Drosophila melanogaster: one gene and its partners. The protein of the gene in region 3 interacts with the protein of the main gene of each other region in a pairwise test. Each region holds a gene or a part of one and is shown on either strand. Other genes may lie near its edges.

Region 1 (6,083 bases), about 13 Mb from region 3:
CTGCAATTGCAAATGGTTGAATGGGGTTTCTTTTAAATATCTATATAGAGAGTGCTTCTACCATGGGCAAATCAATCGGTTCTGGCTGTTGAACTTCAGCCGGCGGAATTGCTTCCTTTACTATTTCAATGTCCATGCACAGGGATAGGTTCACAATGGTCACATTGCAAGTGGTCTGTTCGTCGCCACCGCCATTGCTTGATGGACACTTCATTATCAGCATTTTCACGCCCAGATCGAAGGCCACAACCTGGGAAATTGAAAGCATTACATAATCATAAAAATAATAAATAATATTTAGTTTTACCTCGCCCGAAATGTTGTCGCCAAAACAAGTCTTGCAGCGCACAATAGAGCCCACAGTAAAGCAAGGAGCCAATGATGACATCTTGGCCAAGGAACTTAAAAACTTTAAAAATGTAATCGAAATCGAAAATCCCAGCCGATGTCCGATGTCAAGTTCAAGGCACTCTATTCTACTTTCATAGCCTTGTCATTTTGTCGCCAAAAAGTTGGTGGTGCTTGTGGTTTTATTTCTTTTTATTTACAGTGTATGTATGCTAATTTATAATGTACTAAATATAAATGTTGTTGTATATATATATATATATTTCAAAAGTAAACCGTTCCTTTTAATCATATATATATATGCAATTTCGCAGTTTAGCAGTTGCTGTCTAAATTAATTTTCTTTATATCTGCATGAGCGTTTGCTTGTTCTCTGTTGTTCAAGAAATGTTGCTTTGTTTATTTGCATTATAATTATGTATTTATGGTATTGTATATGCGCGTATGTGTATGTACCTTCATTAGCACTATTAGCATACCCTTCAAATTGTTTCTAACGCCAGGCAACAAAACGCTTTCCTCCGCTTTGGCGAGAACTGAGAAAAAGTGCATTGGTTAAATTTTAGGCAACACAAAACTCAAAAGCGTATCAACGAATACGTAATGTATGAATACCGAAATATCTTGCAGGACAGGCACGAACGGATAACAAATCGGACACTTAAACAACGAAACTGTACAATCTTTAAAATGGATCCTGACGATTCTAAAAATGAGATGCACTGTGGATTGATCGGTCGCTGGTCTAATAACTAATGACTGCCAACACAGATCGGGGTTTTCCTTTTTTACTTTTAGCACTTGAATGGTAGCTGCACGGCGACCCTTGAAATATTCGCTTTTAGTATAGTGTTTAGTTAGTTACGGCCTTAATATCCTAATTATGCTCTTCAACGGGGAGACCTTCTTTCGTAAATTTAGCTAGGTTTGCTATTAGTTTTGCTCGAAACGAAGAATTTTTGTATGTAGCTGAACTGCTGGAGAAATGTTCATATGTTCCGTCTGCAAATTGGCTGCTTGTGTTTAGTTTTAAATTTAATATCAAAAGGAATGATATATATGAATAATATATATATATAAAAATAAAACAATGCACTTTCTTCCTTGCTACTGGCCCCGTGCTTTAGCTTTACATTGGCCCATCGATGGCGCTCACTTTAAGGCGGAAATAGTAGGCGGACCTGGCCAGCATGCAACCCGAAATCACGAACAGCGCCACGTAGAGGAAGTACATGCCACCATGATCCTGGAAAAATGCAAAAGGAAACACACATATGGGTTTAGAAAATCACATACTTCAGCTTGATTTTAAATTGATTTGGCTTACCGAAGCAATCGAGTATGTGCCGATAGTTACAGCGATGCCTGTGATGAGGAACACCAGCGCCACGATGGCGAACATCACGGCGCGGCTGTTGGCAAAGCGCGAGCCCACCGATGAGACCTTCCTGCAGTGTGGACACCGGGCCAAGGCGTTGTGATACGTGTTGAACTGTAAGAGCAAGCGTTACAAGACTCCTGCTGCTGTGATTTGGATTAATAACTCACCAAAAACGTGTCCGAACAGTGGCCACAAGTGACGCGGCACATGCCCGGCATGGTTGGCACGGGCGGGGTGACGGGACTTGGGGCCAGGTTGATGATCCTCTTGCAATTGGGCCTTGGACAAGCGATTCGCTGCGACGAGCTCTTGCAGATTAACAAACAGTTGCATGGGCAGCGAACATACTTCTTGCCCGCTGGAGCGTTCCGAATGGGCTGTTGATAGCCAAAAGCGTATTAAGTTACAATTGGATTCAAAGAATCTGCTTAGAATTACTCACAGTAGCCTCATTGCAGTGGGTGCACTTGACCACGTGCTGCTCCCGCTTCGTGGTGATGTCAATCATGTGTTGACATACCCGACAGGTGACCATCGGGACGCCTCCGGTGTTGGTACTCTGCTGATACGGCGGCGGCAGCTCATCGGGTCCAATGCAAGGCACTGCGGTCGGTGCTCCATTGCCTAAAATTCCATTGCAAAGTATTATTAACTACTTATAATATTGTTAAGACCCATGCCCTTCAAAGGCGAGACCTTTGGTGTAGAATAAATACATCTCGCCAGCAGAGTTCGCTCAACCACACTGCTCATCTGGCGGTGATTGGCTCATGGAGGGAGTGAGAACTGCATTTTCTGATAGTGTGCAGTGTGTGGCTCTGGGAAGCTGCGATAAACCAAATGGGTCAATGTTTTGGCGTTATGAATGCAGCTTTCTCGTACAAGCATTAAACTAGTGCAACTAGACCGCAGTTGTGGTTCTCGTCTCTCGATCAAAACAAGTTCGAACTTTGTGAAAGACGTTTTTAAATGAAAACAACGCAAAGAGTAACATCGCACACACTCTTTAGGAAAATTGATATGAAGTGGATAAATTGCAAATAAAGTCATATTACTTTGGCTAAATAAATATATAATGTCAAAAAGAAAGGAATACAGAAAGATAACCTATGCAAATTAATTGGGAACATGGAAAGTCGTAAAGCCCTTGTAACTAAACTCTTGTATATATTAATGATATGGACAAGCTTTTTCCGAGCTGAAGATCAGGTTCCTTGGTAAACAATGGAACCACTGCTCATCGCAGACCCTCATTTTCGCCCTGTATTGCGATAAGGCAGCGAATGACATGATGACTCATGGACTCATTGACTGCCCCCGCTTAACCACCACTATAGCAACACCTCCGAATCGATGCTGATTAAACAGCTGTGGGGAACGCTTTTTGCGCTGATTACGAGCGTCCTAGCATAAACAATAACAAAGGCGGTGCAAAAATTTTGCCGATACCGGCGTCGAGTAACTAACTACAATCGATCTTTACATTTTTGGCAGCTCTTCACAATTTCGTGATAAAATTACATTTTTTTTATGGTGTACGTGGCCCATTTGATATTTAGGCCAATAAGAAAATTTTATATTAGGTTGTAAATTTTTGGTAATACCAATAATACTGGGCCCTATTAAAAAATAAAAAAATGGCAGATAATTTAAAATGGCATTTGGGCACCACATATCCTATCAGTTTTTCTTTCTGTGCAGTCCCATTGCTCTCCCCCCGCACCAAACCACACGCATTTATGACTCAGTTGGGTGAAGTGTGAAAATGCCAAATGAGACGGCGAGCAGACAACTCGGAATCACGGCGTTGGATCCGGATAAGTGGAGCGCCCGCACACTTGTTGGGCTTCCAATGGGTTGCCCGCCCGGCTGATTGGATGCGGGTTGAATGCCCGGCTTTACAGTAACGATACGCACCGTCCTCGTTTGTGGCCACCGATGAGTTGCTGCCGGGATTATCGGCACCCTCGTCCACGGCGTCCACGGAATTGTAGCCATTGCCGTCGTCCTTGTTGATCAGGCTTTGTCGCTCTGGATCCGCCATTGTGGACTATCTTCCGATAAATGGATATTTATATGTGTGGACTATAATCTCTATATGCTGGAGCAATTCCCGTTAGGCTGCACTTCCAGTTGCCTTTGTTTTGTTGTTGCTGTTGCTGCGGGGGCTGCTGCAACGCGTTGATTTCAACTGGAAAATGAGTGGGAAATCCAATAGTTTAGTTGCTGTGCCACATAATTTCGGACGCAACGAGCTCTTTGTTCACGATTGCCGCAGTAGTTTGGTTTTTTTTTTCTTCGTTCGTCGCGGTTTTCACTCGCGTTGATTGAAACACATCCTCCCTTTTTTCACTTTTCGGCATGCGCCGCAATTAATCAATTCGATGATGCTGCATGTGCAACGCCCACGCGAGCTCGATTGTCGCACTCACACAGTTGACATTTGGTTATAATACTGGCAATTGCGTTAATTGTTTAACAATTGCTGGCCATAATTGTGCTATATTTTACCTTATTTTTGTTGAAAATGCACTGCAGTCGCTGCGATCTGGCCACACTCTGGCTAGCTATCTGGCAACGATGTCCCGTTTGAGATTTTTCAGTTGCGGCCCTGCCAGGGAGTTGCCACATCGTTGTACTTGGTAAAGAACCAGAAACAGATCAGCGAAAAATTGTTCATTTTTGGAACCAAAACAATCCAGCGCGGCTTAAAACAAATATGTCTAAAATCACGAAAAACTCCAATAAAATTGACAATAAGGATTCTGTAAGCGGGGAAGGCTCAAATAGTGGGGACGATAACACGTCCACAAGTTCAAGTGACTTTGAAACAAGCAGAAAACACAAACTACGCCGCAAATCCTGTCGAAATGTATCATATCATTATCATGCGCTGCCCATGCGCGTAGTTGGCGAAAATGTTGCAGCACTGCCACAAACTCCCAGCTCCACTCGTGATTTAACACTAAGCTCAGCTCAAATAATTGAAGATAGTTCCGACTCTGAGTTTCATATTTCGGACGATACCAGCAACGATGCGCCGGCCAACAAATCGATAACGTTCACAGCACGTCCATTAGAGAAATATGATTTGGAATATATAAGAAAACTACGTAAACGCAAAAAAAAGCCGAGTAAAACTTTATATGTTGATTAAATTTCAAATAACAACTGTTGACCAGGGCTGGAAACGGCAAATGCCCATCTATTGGCCAACACTGGCAACCCAAGCCAGGGTTGGCTTGTGCGTTTTTGGAGTAGTGGTAAATTTTTACGAGCATAACTATTTACACTGATTTTATGTAAATAAAACAAACAAAACGTAGCAAAATTAAGTGCAAAGTGTAAGTAGTAAATGTGGACAGTCGTGCTGTATAAAATTCTAGGTATAAACACTGGAATTCTACGAAAAAATCACCGATGATTTCATTTCCATGCAGTGCGTTGTTGTATGGGAAACTTCGTCGTAGCTATTTGTTGTTGTTGTTGTTGCTGCTGCTCATCACCATCATCCTCGTTGTTTTCGTTGTTGTTGCCGCAGCAGCTGCGTCACAAAAATGAGTTTTGTTTAATTTGATTTTATTTACATTTGATATGGACAAAACCGACTGCCCTTTTAGGGCATCGAACAAGAACAACAGCAACAGTAACTACAAAATTCAGGGCAAACACCTGTTCCTAATTGATTTTTCACTTTTCTTCGCCGACTTCTAGTCTATTCACCACCCCCAACACACAAAACAAAAAAAAAGTAAAACTACGACTTGAACAACAACTGTGTTTTGGCATTTTAATCACAGCAATTAAAAACAAAGCAGCCAAAAAACACGAATAAATAACCCAAACAGTAATAGACCAACCGTAGTACATAGCATTGTTCAGAAATTAAAAGTTAAATCAATTCGAACGAACGAAATTACAAACCCATTTTGACCGCCGATTAGTACACAAAAACCAGAAAAAGGAGTTAGCAGCTAAGGAAAATTTGCAGAAATGGAGTCGCCCCCGATGTTCAATAGTGTGGAAGATGAGTGCAGATATTGGAAGGAACGATCTAAGCAGTACCACAAAGAGTAAGTGCCCATCCCTATTACAGTCTCCGAAATCAGCCATATAGCCTAGTTTTACTTTTAATTTTCAGGTGGACAGACGTGAAACAGGAGTACGACGAGTTTGTGGAGCAGTCCCGCGAAATGGAAATAGAAATGGACGCCACTCTGGACCAGAAGCAGAGTATAATCAAAGATCTCACAGCCAAACTCACAATGTTTGAGCGGGAAAACGAGTCTCTCAAGGTAGCTATAAGCTAAGCCCGATTTACACAAACTGAGCTTAATTCTTAGACTCAGTTTGC
Region 2 (7,469 bases), about 15 Mb from region 3:
GGCCAAGAAGTTTGCATTTTGGTCCACACAGCCAGTCACCAAGCTGGACGAGCAGGTGACCACCAACGAATGCATTGAACCGAACAAGGAAATTAGTGAGATTAGAGCATTGCCATACACTCTGCCAGGCGGCTTCAAATGGGTGACACTAGACCTGAACGACGCCAATGATCTCAAGGAGCTGTACACGCTGCTCAATGAGAACTATGTGGAGGACGATGATGCCATGTTCCGTTTCGATTACCAACCCGAGTTTCTAAAGTGGTCGCTGCAGCCACCTGGCTGGAAACGCGATTGGCATGTTGGCGTTCGTGTGGAGAAGTCCGGCAAACTGGTTGGCTTCATCTCAGCCATTCCCAGCAAGCTGAAGTCGTACGACAAGGTGCTAAAGGTTGTGGACATCAACTTCCTATGCGTCCACAAGAAGTTGCGCAGCAAACGGGTGGCTCCAGTCCTGATTCGGGAGATAACGCGTCGCGTCAATCTGACGGGGATTTTCCAGGCGGCCTATACAGCTGGAGTTGTGTTGCCCACGCCAGTGGCCACCTGTCGCTATTGGCATCGATCGCTCAATCCCAAGAAGCTGGTAGACGTGCGTTTCTCTCATCTCGCACGTAACATGACCATGCAGCGGACAATGAAGCTGTACAAGCTACCCGATCAGCCCAAGACGAAGGGCTATCGCCGAATCACAGCGAAGGACATGGACAAGGCCCACAAGCTGCTGGAGGACTACCTAAAGCGCTTTCAGCTGAGCCCGGTGTTCAGCAAGGAAGAGTTTCGTCATTGGTTTACCCCCAAAGAAGGTATTATCGATTGCTTCGTGGTTGCCGACGAAAAGGGCAACATCACTGATCTGACTAGCTACTACTGCCTGCCATCGTCCGTGATGCACCATCCGGTGCATAAGACGGTTCGTGCCGCATATTCGTTCTATAATGTGTCTACAAAGACCCCGTGGCTGGACCTGATGAACGATGCACTGATCTCGGCCCGCAATGTCCAGATGGACGTGTACAATGCCCTCGACCTCATGGAGAACAAGAAGTACTTTGCACCGCTAAAATTCGGCGCCGGGGATGGAAACCTGCAGTACTACCTCTACAATTGGCGCTGTCCATCGATGCAGCCGGAGGAGATTGCTCTGATACTCATGTAGTCACCTTGTCACCTAAGCTCACATTCTCGCCCTGCCTTTCACAGCTCCCCTCCTCCGCTTTCTTCACCCTGCTGGAAGTGCCGTGCGGCTGCTTTGCTTTGCTCCTATTTACGTAGCTATTACCTGTAATCTTCAGTTATTCCAGCGAGGAAAGCCCTTTGCGAGCATACACCTAAATAGCATCATTGTGAAAATTGCATTTTGCAACGGCCAAGCTTCGATATTTTTTACTACAAGAACGAACACAAATTGTATAAAATGCGCAGCAATATCAATAAAAATGTAACGTTTACTTGGACCTTTATTGCCTATAATTGACAATAAATTATTTTGCTGCTCTTTTAAAGATGACAAGTTTTTATTTTTTTTAAGCAGATTATTGTATTTTTGCCCACTGTCCCAGCATGTGATAGTCTGGCCACTCTGTCACATGGCCATTGGTCTGGCAAGGTCGGTGAAAAAGCGCGCGCTAAGCAAAACAGCTGCACTTGTGTTGGTTTATTAGTTAACGAAATCTGATTCCAATGTTGGTTTCCTCATAATATTGACAATTAAAGACAGCCGCCGACATGGACGATTCGGTGTTCAAGCTAAAATACCAAAAGTACAAGTTGCGCGTCAAGGTGTGGGAGAAGGACTTCAAGAAGAAGAATGGCCGTGTTCCATCGAAGGTGAGATTGGGATGCGGATATGACAAGTATGCTAACTGGTTGACCTGTTGCAGTATGATATAAGGGACGCCAGTCAGGAGATTCGGGACTCATACAAAATGTACTACAAACTGAAGACATCCTTCCTGGAAGAGACGCTGAACGATGTTCTCAGCGAAGATGGATACGATATTCTGGAGATGTCGCAGGCCAGTGATTTCGGTGTGAGCATGCTGGACCAGGACGTCAGTCTTAATGAAGGTCCTCAGCTACCGTTGGATATATCTGCACTGGTGGGGCCGCAGAGCTCTGGTAATCTTGAGGAAATTCCACAATCGGTGGAGGGCTCATTCTCAAATCTCATCGACCTGCCCAATCGTCAAGTACTCACCAATCTGGTCAATCGCGATGAAAACCATGTCATTCGCAAATTCGAGGCGGTGGAGGAGCTGCCAATCAACCAAAATGCCTGGGGCTTGAATGTGAGTAAGAAGCCACCAGCTCCACCACAGCCTGTAGAGGCCTCCAAATCCGCTCCGGGGCACGGAAAGCAACCCAAAGCGGGCGCTAGTCTTAAGCCCAGCTTGAGTGCCAAGTTATTCCAATCCTCACGCGGTTTTGCTAAACGAAATCCCCGAAAGCCGCTTTCACGTTGTGTCAGTTCCTCTAGTTCCACCACATCACTTAGCTCAGTTCCTACTGATCATCACGAGGAACTGCTCGACTTTGAGACCATACTCATACGCAAAGCCCAGGAGTACAAGGAGAAGCAGCAGGCCATAGCTAACAATCCAATGCTGGCCAGTGAGCACAGCAAGGAAAGTATCAAAACACTGGTGGACGACGGCTGGCTCCGGCGAAATACAAAGGAAAACACTCTTGATGAAGAAGTGCCCTTTGCGGAAGCAAATAATAACAGTGGTACGTCCAAGAAAACAAACTTTGGCCTGGCCAATCTTGATTTAAGTAAACTAAAGCCCACTGTTAAGGAGGAAAAAGTGTTGCAGGCCAAGCCCGATCAAATGGCAATCATACAGGAGCTGCAAACAGATATGAATTCTAGCATGAACCAGAAACCAGATCATCTTAATCACACACCTCCTGCATCCAGTCAAAAATCAGTCGCTCCTAAAAATAAACCTCCACCTTCCGAGCAGGAAACCGATTCGGATTCCGACTCTGTTGTGGCTGAGAGTGAAGAAGAGCAGGAACCACAAGAATATCGGCAACTATCAAAACGTCGCAAAATTGTTTCAACAGCATCAGGAAAAGTGGAAGTAGCCGCCCCAGTTGAAATTCCCAACAAAGTCGAACCAGAGACAGAAACATTTGCTCAAGAGAATCCAGATTTCTCTGCAGATGAAGACCAGGATGCTACATATGTACCAGAGAATAAAAAGAAAGATAAGGCAAAGCGCAAGCAAGCCGCCGGAAAACAAAAGACCACTAAGCCCAAAGCGGAACCAAAACCGAAAACAGAAAAGAAAGCCAAAGTCAAGGCCGAAAAGAAACCCAAGGCGGAGAAAAAGCCGAGGAACTCTAAAAAAGCCATCGCTGTCGAGCCGGCTCCTGATCCAGAAGAGGATGAGCGCCAACCATTGAATCCAGAAGATTTGAAATACGTGTTGGCCTTGGAGGCGGGAGATATTACCTCCGTTCCGCGCATTAATGTGCAGGATCTAGAAGAAGCGGATGCTACCGCCCAGCGCTATATTAGAACCTTCGCCGCTGGACCCAACCCAGGATTGTCGGAAGGGTCCAACATTCGAGTGGATGAAAAGAGAGCCGCAGCACGAAAGAAGCTGGAGGAACGCATAGCAGCTGGTAAATTAAACGAGAACTTTGTGACCATAAATATTCAAAAGAAAAAATTCGTGCGTGGCAAAAAGTCCGTGAACTTCAGCAAGTACAAGAAGCAACAGTGGCGGCATAAGAAACGAGTGGCTGCCTTGAGTGGGCCGGACATGGATATGGGTGGCTGTGATGGCGGAGTGCTCACGTGCTTCCAGTGCGGCGGAGTCGGGCATTTCGCTCAGCAGTGCAAGGTGAAGGGAGACAGCTTGTTGCCACTTTCGGCACAGCTGGAAGAGGATCCCTCGCCGTTTCCCACGCTTGCCGAGGCTCAGGAGATGGCCAGTCAGGGAGCAGTGGTGGCACACAGTCGCAACATCTCACGGCTGCCCCAAGCGGCCAATGCAGCCATCCTGCAAGGCGATGAGTTGAACGAGTCAGAGGAAGATGACCAAGAAAGCAGCGGAGATGAGGAGGTACAGCAGCATCCAGATCCAAATTGGTCTAGCGATGAAATGGACGTTGATTTCGAGGCCCTAGATGCGGCCGTCGAAGCTTCCCTAAGCCAACCGGTTTCGCAAGAGAAAGCAGCTTCACCTATTAAGACATACGTCGGCCACAAGATTCCCGAGGAGTTCCTCAAGCAGGCTGGACTGGACACCACAGCCTCTAGTTCGAATCGCAGCCAGCACGGTGGGGTGAAGCCCCTATACGATCTCCTTCCGGATGGCAGTGTCCAGGACACGACGCCAGAGGTCCTAGAGGCACTCCACATGTTCGGGCACACCAACTTCAGGAAAGGTCAAGATCGCGCCATCATGCGCACTCTCTCTGGACTATCATCGCTAGTTACACTTAGCACGGGCAGCGGCAAATCTTTGTGCTACCAATTGCCCGCCTATTTGTATAGCCGGAAAGTGGGAGCTATTACCCTAGTCATCTCACCATTGGTGTCACTTATGGAGGATCAGGTGACCGGGGTGCCGCACTTTCTGCGAGCTCACTGCCTGCACACTAATCAGACCGCGCCGCAGCGTATGAAGATTCAGCAGATGATTGCCAATGGGGAGATTGACATTCTTCTTGTCTCTCCGGAGGCGGTTGTCGCCGGGGAACGAGCCACAGGATTTGGAGCCATTCTTCGCCAGCTGCCGCCCATTGCATTCGCTTGTATTGATGAGGCGCATTGCGTGTCTCAGTGGAGTCACAACTTTCGACCCAGCTACCTAATGATCTGCAAGGTGCTGAGAAAGAATCTCGGTGTACGCACAGTGCTGGGGCTAACAGCCACGGCAACTTTGCCAACGCGTGTTAGCATTATAAATCACCTTGGCATATCGGATGGAGAACGTGGTATTATAAGCGACATCCCACTGCCTGACAATCTAGTGCTGTCCGTCTCCAAGGATGAGAACCGGGATGCAGCTCTGCTCCAACTGCTCAATAGCGAACGGTAAGACTTGGCCCACCATCTTTGAAACTTGAAGGAGACTTAAATACATTTTGATCATTCTAGCTTCGAGCCCTGCCAGTCCATTATTATCTATTGTACGCGTCGTGACGAGTGTGAGCGTATCGCTGGGTTTATTAGAACGTGCGTGCAAGACCGTAGGGAGCCAACTCAGGATCAGACGAAAAAACGTAAACGTGTGAATTGGCAGGCTGAGCCCTATCACGCTGGAATGCCCGCTTCCAGGCGACGAACCGTTCAGAAGGCCTTCATGAGCAATGAGCTGCGCATTGTGGTGGCCACCATTGCCTTTGGTATGGGCATCAATAAGCCGGACATACGCGCGGTAATCCATTATAATATGCCAAGAAACTTTGAGAGCTATGTGCAGGAAATTGGTCGAGCAGGACGCGACGGGTTGCCTTCCCACTGTCACCTCTTCTTGGATGCGAAGGGTGGCGACCAGAGTGAGCTGCGTCGCCATGTGTATTCTAACTCCATTGATCGGCATGTTATCCGTAAGCTGCTGCAAAAGATCTTTGTGCCATGTAGCTGTGACAAGGAGGCTTCCAAGAGGACAGCTCTTCCGATTCCCCTTGAAGGTGATGGTCCTAGAGTGCATATGTGTCCGGGACACGAGATTGGCTTTTCCGTGGAGAAAACCGTTGAGATGCTGGACATCCCGGCGGAGAACATATCTACTTTGCTCTGCTACATGGAGCTTGATCCCCGATGGTGCATCAGTGTGCTCAGCTCAGCATATGTGATGGCTAAGGTAATCTCGTATGGTGGGCCAAAGTACTTGAAGTAAGTCCTTTAGACACGTGTATTGTGTATGTGTTTAATGTTATTGGTTTTTCCTTGCACAGGCATGCTGCAAAGGAATGTCCACCATTGGCCATGGCTATTGCTTTGCAGATTAGAGATAAGACATTCAAGGAGGACTCTAACATCATAGAATTCTCGGTCACAGATATCGCGGCAGGAATTGGCTGGAACAGTGGTGTGGTCAAATACCAACTGAAGGATCTGGAGTGGGTAAAAGGTGAGATGGTAATCCGTTCAAAAAAGGATCCGTTTAATTAGAAATTAATTTTTCGATAGTAAATGGATATCCCAAGCGATCGCCCATCACGGTGAGCTTCTATGATTTGGGATTCCGCATCAAGGTGCCGGGCGATTTTACCGAATCAGAGATCGACAACGCTCTGGACACTCTCTATACGCGATCCGTGAAACAGGAGCGTACGCAGCTCATCCAGCTGCAATATGTGGCCCATGGATTGGCTGCTGTGGCCTACAGCTCTTGTGGCCAGTGCTGCAATGCGGATTTTCCGCAGGATCGGGGCGAGCAGCTAAAGGCTATCGTGCGCAACTACTTTGCCAATGACTACCCACAGGATCTGGAGCTGGAAATAGAGGTAATTGCTTGGCAACACATTTCAATTTCTTACTTTTATTGCTTTCCTCTCTGTCCATTAGCCAAGTAACGTGCCGGATGAGAACATCATAGACGACGTTCATGCTCTAATAAACATGTACCCGGACAATACATTTACCGGACGTAATATTGCGCGCATCTTTCATGGCATCATGAGCCCGAACTATCCGGCTGTCATCTGGGGACGCTGTAAGTTCTGGCGTGCCCACGTCAAAGTGGATTTCAATCGCATCCTGCACCTGGCCAATATGGCTATTATCAAGAGGCGTACGTGACCGTAATGTCGGGATGAACCGCCGATACCATGGTTAACCAATTAATAGCTCCAAGAATTTTAAAAATATGTGATGCCATTCAATAACATTTTACTCGCACAAGTCTGATAATACAAAAATAAATTACAAATTCTATATAAACAGCTTTTGTACTTATTATGAGTGGAAAGAGAAATTCGTACGGACAATCTAAATTTTTAGCTTGGTTTTTAAACTCTCTAAATCTATGTGTTTCATTAGCTAATAAATTTGCACCATACAATCCCACGCCAATGGAACAATAACAATTTATGATAATTTCATTGCCGAAAACAACAGAGCACTAAAATAAAGTAAACAAATGCCAAGCTCGTTTAGAGGCAAATTGCAGCTACGGCTTCAAATGAAACAGCAGAAATCAATTCGATGGAGCCCGTAAAGAAACAAACATCCGGCTGAGTCATTCCCAATAACATCACGAAATGTATAACCCCGGTCGAAGGTGTCATCTTCAAATCGAAGCCTAGCCAAAGGTCGTCCTTCCTCAGTTCACACGAACGCGAAGCAAACAACCCAACAAATGGGGGGATCTAACAACAACTCAGGGCACAGACAACTGGAAACAGAGAAACATCATTGAAGTTGTCGGATCAGCGAAGCGTTTGATAAAGGTTTTTTATGACTTGGCCATTTTGTGAGGCCTTTGGCTTCTCGTGCCGATGTT
Region 3 (7,564 bases):
CGAAATCTCAGGAGCTATAAGAACTAGAAGGTCAAGATTATGCATACAGATTCTAGAAACATAGACACAGAGCCAGTTTGCTTCCACGCCCACAAGTCGGGCAAAACTGTCACGCCCACACTTTTGAAAACTGTTTTGATATTCTTTCATAGTTTTATTAGTCTTGCAAATGTGTATGGTTTTGCAAAAAAACTTTTAAAAAAGTTTTGATATTTTTTCATCTTTTTTAATTATAAATTTTTATCGATTATGCCACACCCACTATCGACCGTAAGCCGCAGAAACCTGTCACGGACACACATTTGAAAAATATGTTATATCTTTTTTTCACATTTTTATTAGTATTGTAAAATTCTATCGATTTGCTACAAAAACTTTATGCCACGCCCACTCTAACGACCACAAACCTCCCATTTCTTCTTGTCCAATATCTATCGATGGTCCTAAAAAATTATGAAATTTCGCGTTCTCACTTCCACTAGCTGAGTAAAAGGTATTTGATATTCGGGGAACTCGTGCGTTCTCTCTTCTTATTTATTTAAAACAAGAGAGAACAATAGTCGATTACTTTCGACTATCAGATACCCGTTACTCAGCGAATTTTGAGATTTTTTTTGTCATTTCGATGGAAATTTACATTTATATAACAAAATGAAATGAAAATCAAATCCCTTTTCACAACTGAGAGCAGGATACCTGGCCAATAAACGGTTTCATGGCGTCTGGATAGGCTTGCGAACGCACTAACTTGCATGCGAACGGACAGGCGGACAGATCAAGATTATATGTATGTGTGTACTCCAGTAAACTTATAATTATTATGTTAGTCTAAAACCTTAATGCGTTGGAGATTTACAATAAATGTATGTACATATGTACATAGTCATGAATTCTTTAAATTCCTCGAAATTGTTCCGATACGGGAATCGACCCCCCTATATTAATTGAAGCTGATATGGCCGAAGTGCAGCGTATTCTGCCAAGAAACGCTATCCAAGTATTTTGGTACGTATGTATGTATGTACATACATGTGTATATGGTACATTCATGTAGTACATACATACATATGTATGCAAGTACGTACGAACGCTCGACAATTCCTCTGCTAAAACCAAATGCGAACGCGTCAACGGATTTTTGTATTACACACATTTTCTGTTGTTTCGTTCTGCGCGTTCTCCCTGTTGTGTGTGTGTGTGTGTGCGACGCCGCTTTTCGCTTGCTTTTACTTTCTGTGGCTTGTGATTGCGATTAAACGGGGTTTCCATCCGGCGAGTCGCGCTCTAGGCAGCGCCCGGAGAGCGCTTTAGACCTATATGTCTGGATCAGATAACGGGAACGGTGGCAGCGAGCCACGGCCGGAGAGAGACAGAGAGCGCAAAGAGCTATAGCTGGCTCTCATGTCGATGTCGAATGCGCGTGATTTTTTGGCTCTGAATGCGGGCTTGCTGCCAACTGCGCTGCCGGCTCGGCGTCGACGACGGCTGAGCGCAGCCCGCTTGCCGCGGTGGTTGTTATTTTCTGGTCTTGGTTTTTAGTTGCCGTTTAAACTTGGTCGTGAGAGGGTAGCAGCCCCGTTATCAGCCGACCGCGATCGCGTCCGAACTAAAGAGTACTGTGGAGCCCTGGCCAGTTCAAGCCTTCAAATCCTCCAGAACATTCTGATGGCGCCCGTGAGCGGCTGTTTGCCCACCGCCACCCACTCGCTGCAGGACATGAGTGCTGCCGCCGCGGCAATCGCTCTTGACATGAAGCCCAAGTTGGAGCCCCACCCCCTGGCCGCCGCAACTGCCATGCCCTCTCAGAAGATAAAGAAATGTGCGTACACAGATTTATTCCCCACATTCATGCAAACATACGTACATACATATGTATATATGTACAATTTTTATGCAAAATGCAGTCGAAAGTCGATACGTCGAACAAGCAGTAGAATTTATTTTATCTCTTCATTGCCTATTCAAATAGTTCGGTTCACCCTATGTGCAATGTACATACATATACGTACATACGTATGTATGTACATTTGGGTTAAAAAAGTTCGACTTATAGAAGTTTTGAGGTGCCTGTACCGTGCTTTCTTAAAATATTCGACTGTCGAGACTCGAGGACTTATATTATTTGCATTCATTTTTGTGTCCCAACAGTGGTTCGGCGCAACGCCTCCGACAAGCTGAAGCTCATCCAAATGGTGCACGACAATCCAATTCTCTGGGACTCCCGTCTCCCGAATTTCAAGGGCGCCGAAGAAGAAAAGAACCGAGCCTGGGAGCACATAGGCCGCGAGTTCAACGCTCCCGGGCGTCGCGTTGCACGGGCCTTCAAGTCCTTGAGGGAATCCTACCGCCGTGAACTCGCCCACGTCAAGCTAATGGGCAATGGCTTCAAGCCCAAGTGGAGTCTCTATGAGGCCATGGATTTCCTGCGCGATGTCATCAGAGAACGAAAGTAAGTATAAGGAATAGTATTTTAGTGAACTGGTGACCAGGTGATTCTCTTAAATTTAAAACCGTCAAGGAAGTTTCATGCCAATATCGACTCCTGGGGTTGACCAGTAATATAGAGCCCGTTATGAATTTTGCATTCTCTGCTTGACCCATTATTGCCACACCACAAATCATGTCACTAAAAATGATCTTCATCCAAATGGCTTTACAAAAGCAAAAGCAATAATAGAACACGAGAGAAGAGCGCTTAAATTTAAAATTTGACAGAAATACGAGTCATTCTTATAATCGAATAGTAAAGTACATGAAATTCTATATCAACGAATAATTATTACAGAACGTATTGCACTTATTTCCAAGTTTTCTTTTAATCTTTCTAGGCAATATTTACCTTTCCCAAAATGATCTTAATTAACGTACTTATTCTTATCCTCTGCTTTTTGGAGATCGATACCAAAACAAATCTAAAAGTGGAACCGTTATTTCTCAAAAGTAATGCTCCCTTACGACTACAGTTCTTCAATAATATCGTCTTACACTCTGAACATTATTTGTGTCAGGAGTACATTTGGCTACTTATATTACAATGAGTTTGATAAGCCGTCACTAACCATACAACCATCGAACAACGGTCAAAGTTTGGCTTGAGTCGTGAATAACAGTTTTCGGTTTAGATTGGTCTTCTGTTTTGGTCATACACGGATTGATTCATGCGAAACAAATACATGCATCAGTTTGAAGACTAGCTAACTTATACACAATAATAATGTGACTCACCTTTCCAACGATCATTTACATTGGTCGAAGGTATTGTATGCTTTCCAGTCCTGTGTCTGAAAGAGGTTTTTCCGAATCTGCCCCCCTAAAAATATGTGTGCTTGTCAGTAGTCAGTCAAGCGAACAATGTTGTTTAGCTTGGCTCAATCAAAAATAATTATTGCAGGAAATTCCAAGAATCTTATCATTTTATGCGAGTAGCCACTTCAGCTTATGTACACTGAGAAGTGTATGAGTTTGTGAGTCATGGCTTAGATCTAATGTTGGACAAAATATGTCAATAAATTTATTTCAAAAATCATAGAATCACGGACTTCGTAAAGATCTGACAATTTAAATAAATTGAGAATTCGGAAATATGTTCAGATCGAATAGACAATACATACAATTGTCACATAAAAAACATGTGATAAGTTTAGCATAAAGTTATTCGAACCGTAACTACGAAATTCCACTTCCATTCGAGCCTTCGTACAAAACTCATCCCTTAGCCCAGTCGATTTGCATAAACGCCCAACAATTCGAGCAAATCTCAGCACCGTGTCTGAGAAAACATCTGCCCAGCGAAAAAGAATAGCAAAAACAAGGCAAGGGGGCATATGGACACTAAGGAGCGGTAATGTGGAAAAAACCAATCCGAACAAAGGAATGACCGGGCCAGAGACCCGCAAATGGTCTCAGTCGAGAGTCTGCCCCGTCCAATGTTCTGGCTCATATGGAGCCGTGCTCGAGCTGCGGGTGTGTGTGTGTGTGTGAGTGTGTGTACTTTATGTACATATTTATATGAAATAAGGCCATTTCCTTTCAATTGACTGTACCCACATGGGCAACAAGCAGTCGACGGCCCCGACACATGCCCGCGCACACTCACCCATGGTGTGTGTATATATTTAAATTTTTATTATTGTGAGCTGATAACAGACAGCTCAACGGGCCCGGCCAGTCGGGCAGCGCTTGAGCCGGAGCTATAGCCGCAGCTATAGCCACAGCCATAGCCATAACACAGATCTCGCCAAGCGGCGAATATTATACAACGTCGCAGCATCGTCGCTGCTTGAACCAAAAACGAAATTGAGGGAAGCTGCAAACGCAAGACCAAGTCCATCGAATAGTGCTTGCGAGAGGGGTGGGGACTATGGGAAGGCGCCGAGAGAGCGATAAATTAATGAGAGCACTACGAAAATGACAATCAGCACCGAAGAATACGGATTGCGAGTGGACCAAGTTGGGAAAGACTGGTAGCTCGTGAGCGAGAAAGGGGCTGGTAAGGGAAAATGAGCGAGGTTCTGCCTGTGTGTGTATGACATGAGCACCGAACACTCGTAAAGATCGCTGTATGGGTGAGCTGAGTAATTGAACGAATAGCTTGGTCTGACTTCGGCCAGGGTTAAAAATATGCCCACGACCATTAGCCAGCCGCATCGGCCGCGTCCCGGCCAAGGGGTTGCTGAGACCCAGAGTCGGGGTCTGGACGCCTCTTTCAGGCTGCCCTGGCCCACATGCTTTCGTCGTTCAGTCCTCTCTTAATGGGGGGCTCTCGTACCCTCACCCTCACACACACGAGGCCACTTGGGTGTGAAAGTTCTGCTGGGCTCTGTCTGTGTCACGCTTATGATTTAATAAGCAAATGTGCTGCGAAATTGCTGAAATTGTTTGGCTGTCCGTCATCCCCACAATCCGAATCTCGCCCCACGCCCTGAAATCACTGTCCGCCGTATTTCGCATTGAAATGCTTTAGCCAATGCGTCACGGAAGAAGAAAAGTGGGCGGTAGTCCGTGCTTGCCTTTTGATTCTCGTACCTTTAAATGCCTTTGCATGGAGCTAGTTCTTGCCTAATAAATCATAATAAAAAGTTCTAGGTCTGCAAAAATCTAAAATCTCATTCGGACCATTGGAATATTTAATTATGTTATTATTATATTAATATTCATAGATTTGTTTCCAAGTGCAGGTGATAGAGATTTTAGAAAACGAATTCAAACCACAAAAACCCATAAACAATCTCGGAAAACGGCTTGGGACCTAAGCAAGAGCGGAAGCAAATAATGATAAGCTGAGCGATTCAAACCCCGAAAAGAAACCAAGTCAAAATAATGAAGTAAATAAAGCCATTCCCGATTGTGGAACATGTGAAAATGTATTTCGACTCGATTAGTCCTGCGAGTTTTTTGGTCTTGGCTGGCGAGCGAGTATCAGTTTTCAAATTTTACAATTGTCAACTACCTGCAGCCGATTGCGGTGATAAGGCTGTCTTCTAGGTCGCCCATGCCCGTGCCTACCACTAGGCCAGGTCTTTGCATTCGGCAAATAACTATAGGTATGGGGGAGGCCCAAAATAGCCACGTTCAGATGTTCTTTGAGCACCCGGCCCAGGCAGCTGCATTGCCTGTGAAAATGCTCTTGAAACTTGAGACGCGTAAGGAGAGAGACAGGAAGCGATACTACACTGAAAGACATTTATGTTTATGCATTTCTTGTGTTATTGCCTTAAACAGACAAGATTTCAAAATGGGGATATGAATCGTTGAGTCACAGGAAACATATGAACTCTATAAGGCTAATACAATTATATTTTTGTGTGTTTTCGAACTCACAATTAATACGAACATGCTTTCCTTATCAGGGTCACTATCCGATCGCAATGTCCGTCGGCATAAAACAAAGCTAATTAGTTGATGACAACCTAGCAAAGTTTTACGAACTTATTGATTTGTCTTTCAGACTATTCTATTTCTAATTTTTTGCCCAACGTTTTGCAAATGATTATTGCCAGCATTATTTAATATTTTTTTATTTATTGTAATTAATATAATTTAAGATAAGAGAAAGAAAATCTGTTATACTATAAATGATGTGTGAGAGACAAAGAAAAGTATTCTTTCTACTTTTAATTTAAGAACGTAGGCGGTTCTTAAAGTGTATTAAAAACAATGTACATAACCACTAGTCACGGTTATATGTTATTGTATTTAATAAATTTATTAATCTTTTTGTATGCCCTTTTAAACAACCTCCTTCATCAAATTTTTATTAGTATTCAACTTAACATCAATACAAAATAAAAAAATACCGCAGACTTGCTGCGAATATGAATATTGAATATGACGCAAAAGTAAAACCCAACCTTAAACCCGTTAAAATGTGAAATAATTTAGTCTTCTAACATATGTTCTTTCTATTATAGGGGCGCTTCGCATGCAACCGATCTAAGCCTGACAACCTATGGCCATATTAACAATAACAACAACAACAACAACAACAGTAACAGCTTGGCTGCAGGGGGAAAGGCAATGACCCTGAAGCTGTCCAATTCCTTTAACGAGTCCGCCTCAGTGTTAAATCTCTCAAAGTGCTCCTCGCTCAATGTAAGCGACGATCACTACTATTGCGACTACTATGTGAAGCCGGAGCTGGATCTCTCGGTGGGCGGTGGGGCCGGAAGTAGCACAAGTGGGAGTAGCTCCGGCGGCGGGCCACTTCCTCTGCCCGCTCACCAGGCTCACAACGACAGTCGGGTGAGCTCAACGAGAAACGAGCAAAGGGCACAGCATCACAGCTATGAAGACATGGACGACAGCTCGATACGCAGCGGGGACGAAGATATCGCCCACGCATCCGACGTAGTGGAGGAGTTGGATGCCATCGATGCAGATTTCCCTTATCCTCTGATTCTGGATTCCAACTCACGCGGTAGCCCCAATGTTGGTGTGGACGATGTGGTCATGTCCCGCAAGCTTCGCCGTAACGTCGATCAAGATGTTTTGGAGGAAGGAAACGGTCACGGCGATGCGGTTATCGATGGTGACGACTACGAAGAACAAATGCTGCAACAGCACCGCCATCTCCGGCAGCAACAGGGCGTCGCAAGCGGAGGGTTGGATCTGCCGCCCCCACAAACTGTACGTGAGGTTTTGAACTCCAAGTTCTGCGGCTTTATTTCAGCCAAGCTAAACAGCATGGAGGACTCGGACGCGGACAATTTAATGAATCGCATTCTTCTCTTACTGGTTCAAGTGCAGCAGTGCGAAGGGTCCACGAAATAGACAGCGGAGGAGAAGAGCGCTAAGTGTACGGGTGTAATTATAGTAGCCAAAAAAAAGTACATAATGGAATGATGTTGCTGCTCAGAGCACTTATAACTGAATTTTCTTGCCATTATATATTACTTTCCTAAAGAAATACAAATTTACTTGCCAATGCCAAATCTGTGCCATACCAAAAGGATCAATCAAATATGAATGATTTTCTAAAACATTCTCTAATTTTTTCGCTCCTATTAACAAAAATGAACCAAACTCAACGAAAAGACAACACAAAGACGTAAACCAAGAAATAGCA

What was found.
Region 1: the proteins of Mes2 (region 3) and CG6707 interact in a two-hybrid assay, tested with the Drosophila melanogaster proteins (one large-scale study listed by BioGRID).
Region 2: the proteins of Mes2 (region 3) and RecQ4 interact in a two-hybrid assay, tested with the Drosophila melanogaster proteins (one large-scale study listed by BioGRID).

What each region holds. Positions count from the first base shown.
Region 1 is NT_037436.4:9,894,283-9,900,365, forward strand, and holds CG6707 (uncharacterized protein), read right to left. Parts: upstream 4,294-6,083; 5' UTR 4,241-4,293; intron 4,155-4,240; exon of another isoform or gene 3,921-4,154; 5' UTR 3,774-3,920; coding exon 3,647-3,773; intron 2,465-3,646; exon of another isoform or gene 2,448-2,464; coding exon of another isoform or gene 2,426-2,447; intron 2,354-2,425; coding exon 2,172-2,353; intron 2,107-2,171; coding exon 1,897-2,106; intron 1,841-1,896; coding exon 1,676-1,840; intron 1,595-1,675; coding exon 1,478-1,594; 3' UTR 525-1,477; downstream 1-524. Other genes in the region: Hez (hezron), read right to left, coding at 62-250, 308-388; CG46387 (uncharacterized protein), read left to right, coding at 4,449-4,886; nudE, read left to right, coding at 5,723-5,802, 5,871-6,024.
Region 2 is NT_037436.4:8,170,116-8,177,584, reverse strand, and holds RecQ4 (RecQ4 helicase), read left to right. Parts: upstream 1-1,606; 5' UTR 1,607-1,728; coding exon 1,729-1,830; intron 1,831-1,883; coding exon 1,884-5,053; intron 5,054-5,116; coding exon 5,117-5,857; intron 5,858-5,919; coding exon 5,920-6,095; intron 6,096-6,154; coding exon 6,155-6,471; intron 6,472-6,532; coding exon 6,533-6,766; 3' UTR 6,767-6,945; downstream 6,946-7,469. Other genes in the region: Nmt (N-myristoyl transferase), read left to right, coding at 1-1,159.
Region 3 is NT_037436.4:22,944,122-22,951,685, forward strand, and holds the start of Mes2 (Mesoderm-expressed 2), read left to right. Parts: upstream 1-1,535; 5' UTR 1,536-1,665; coding exon 1,666-1,819; intron 1,820-1,873; exon of another isoform or gene 1,874-2,063; intron 2,064-2,148; coding exon 2,149-2,449; intron 2,450-6,410; coding exon 6,411-7,269; 3' UTR 7,270-7,564.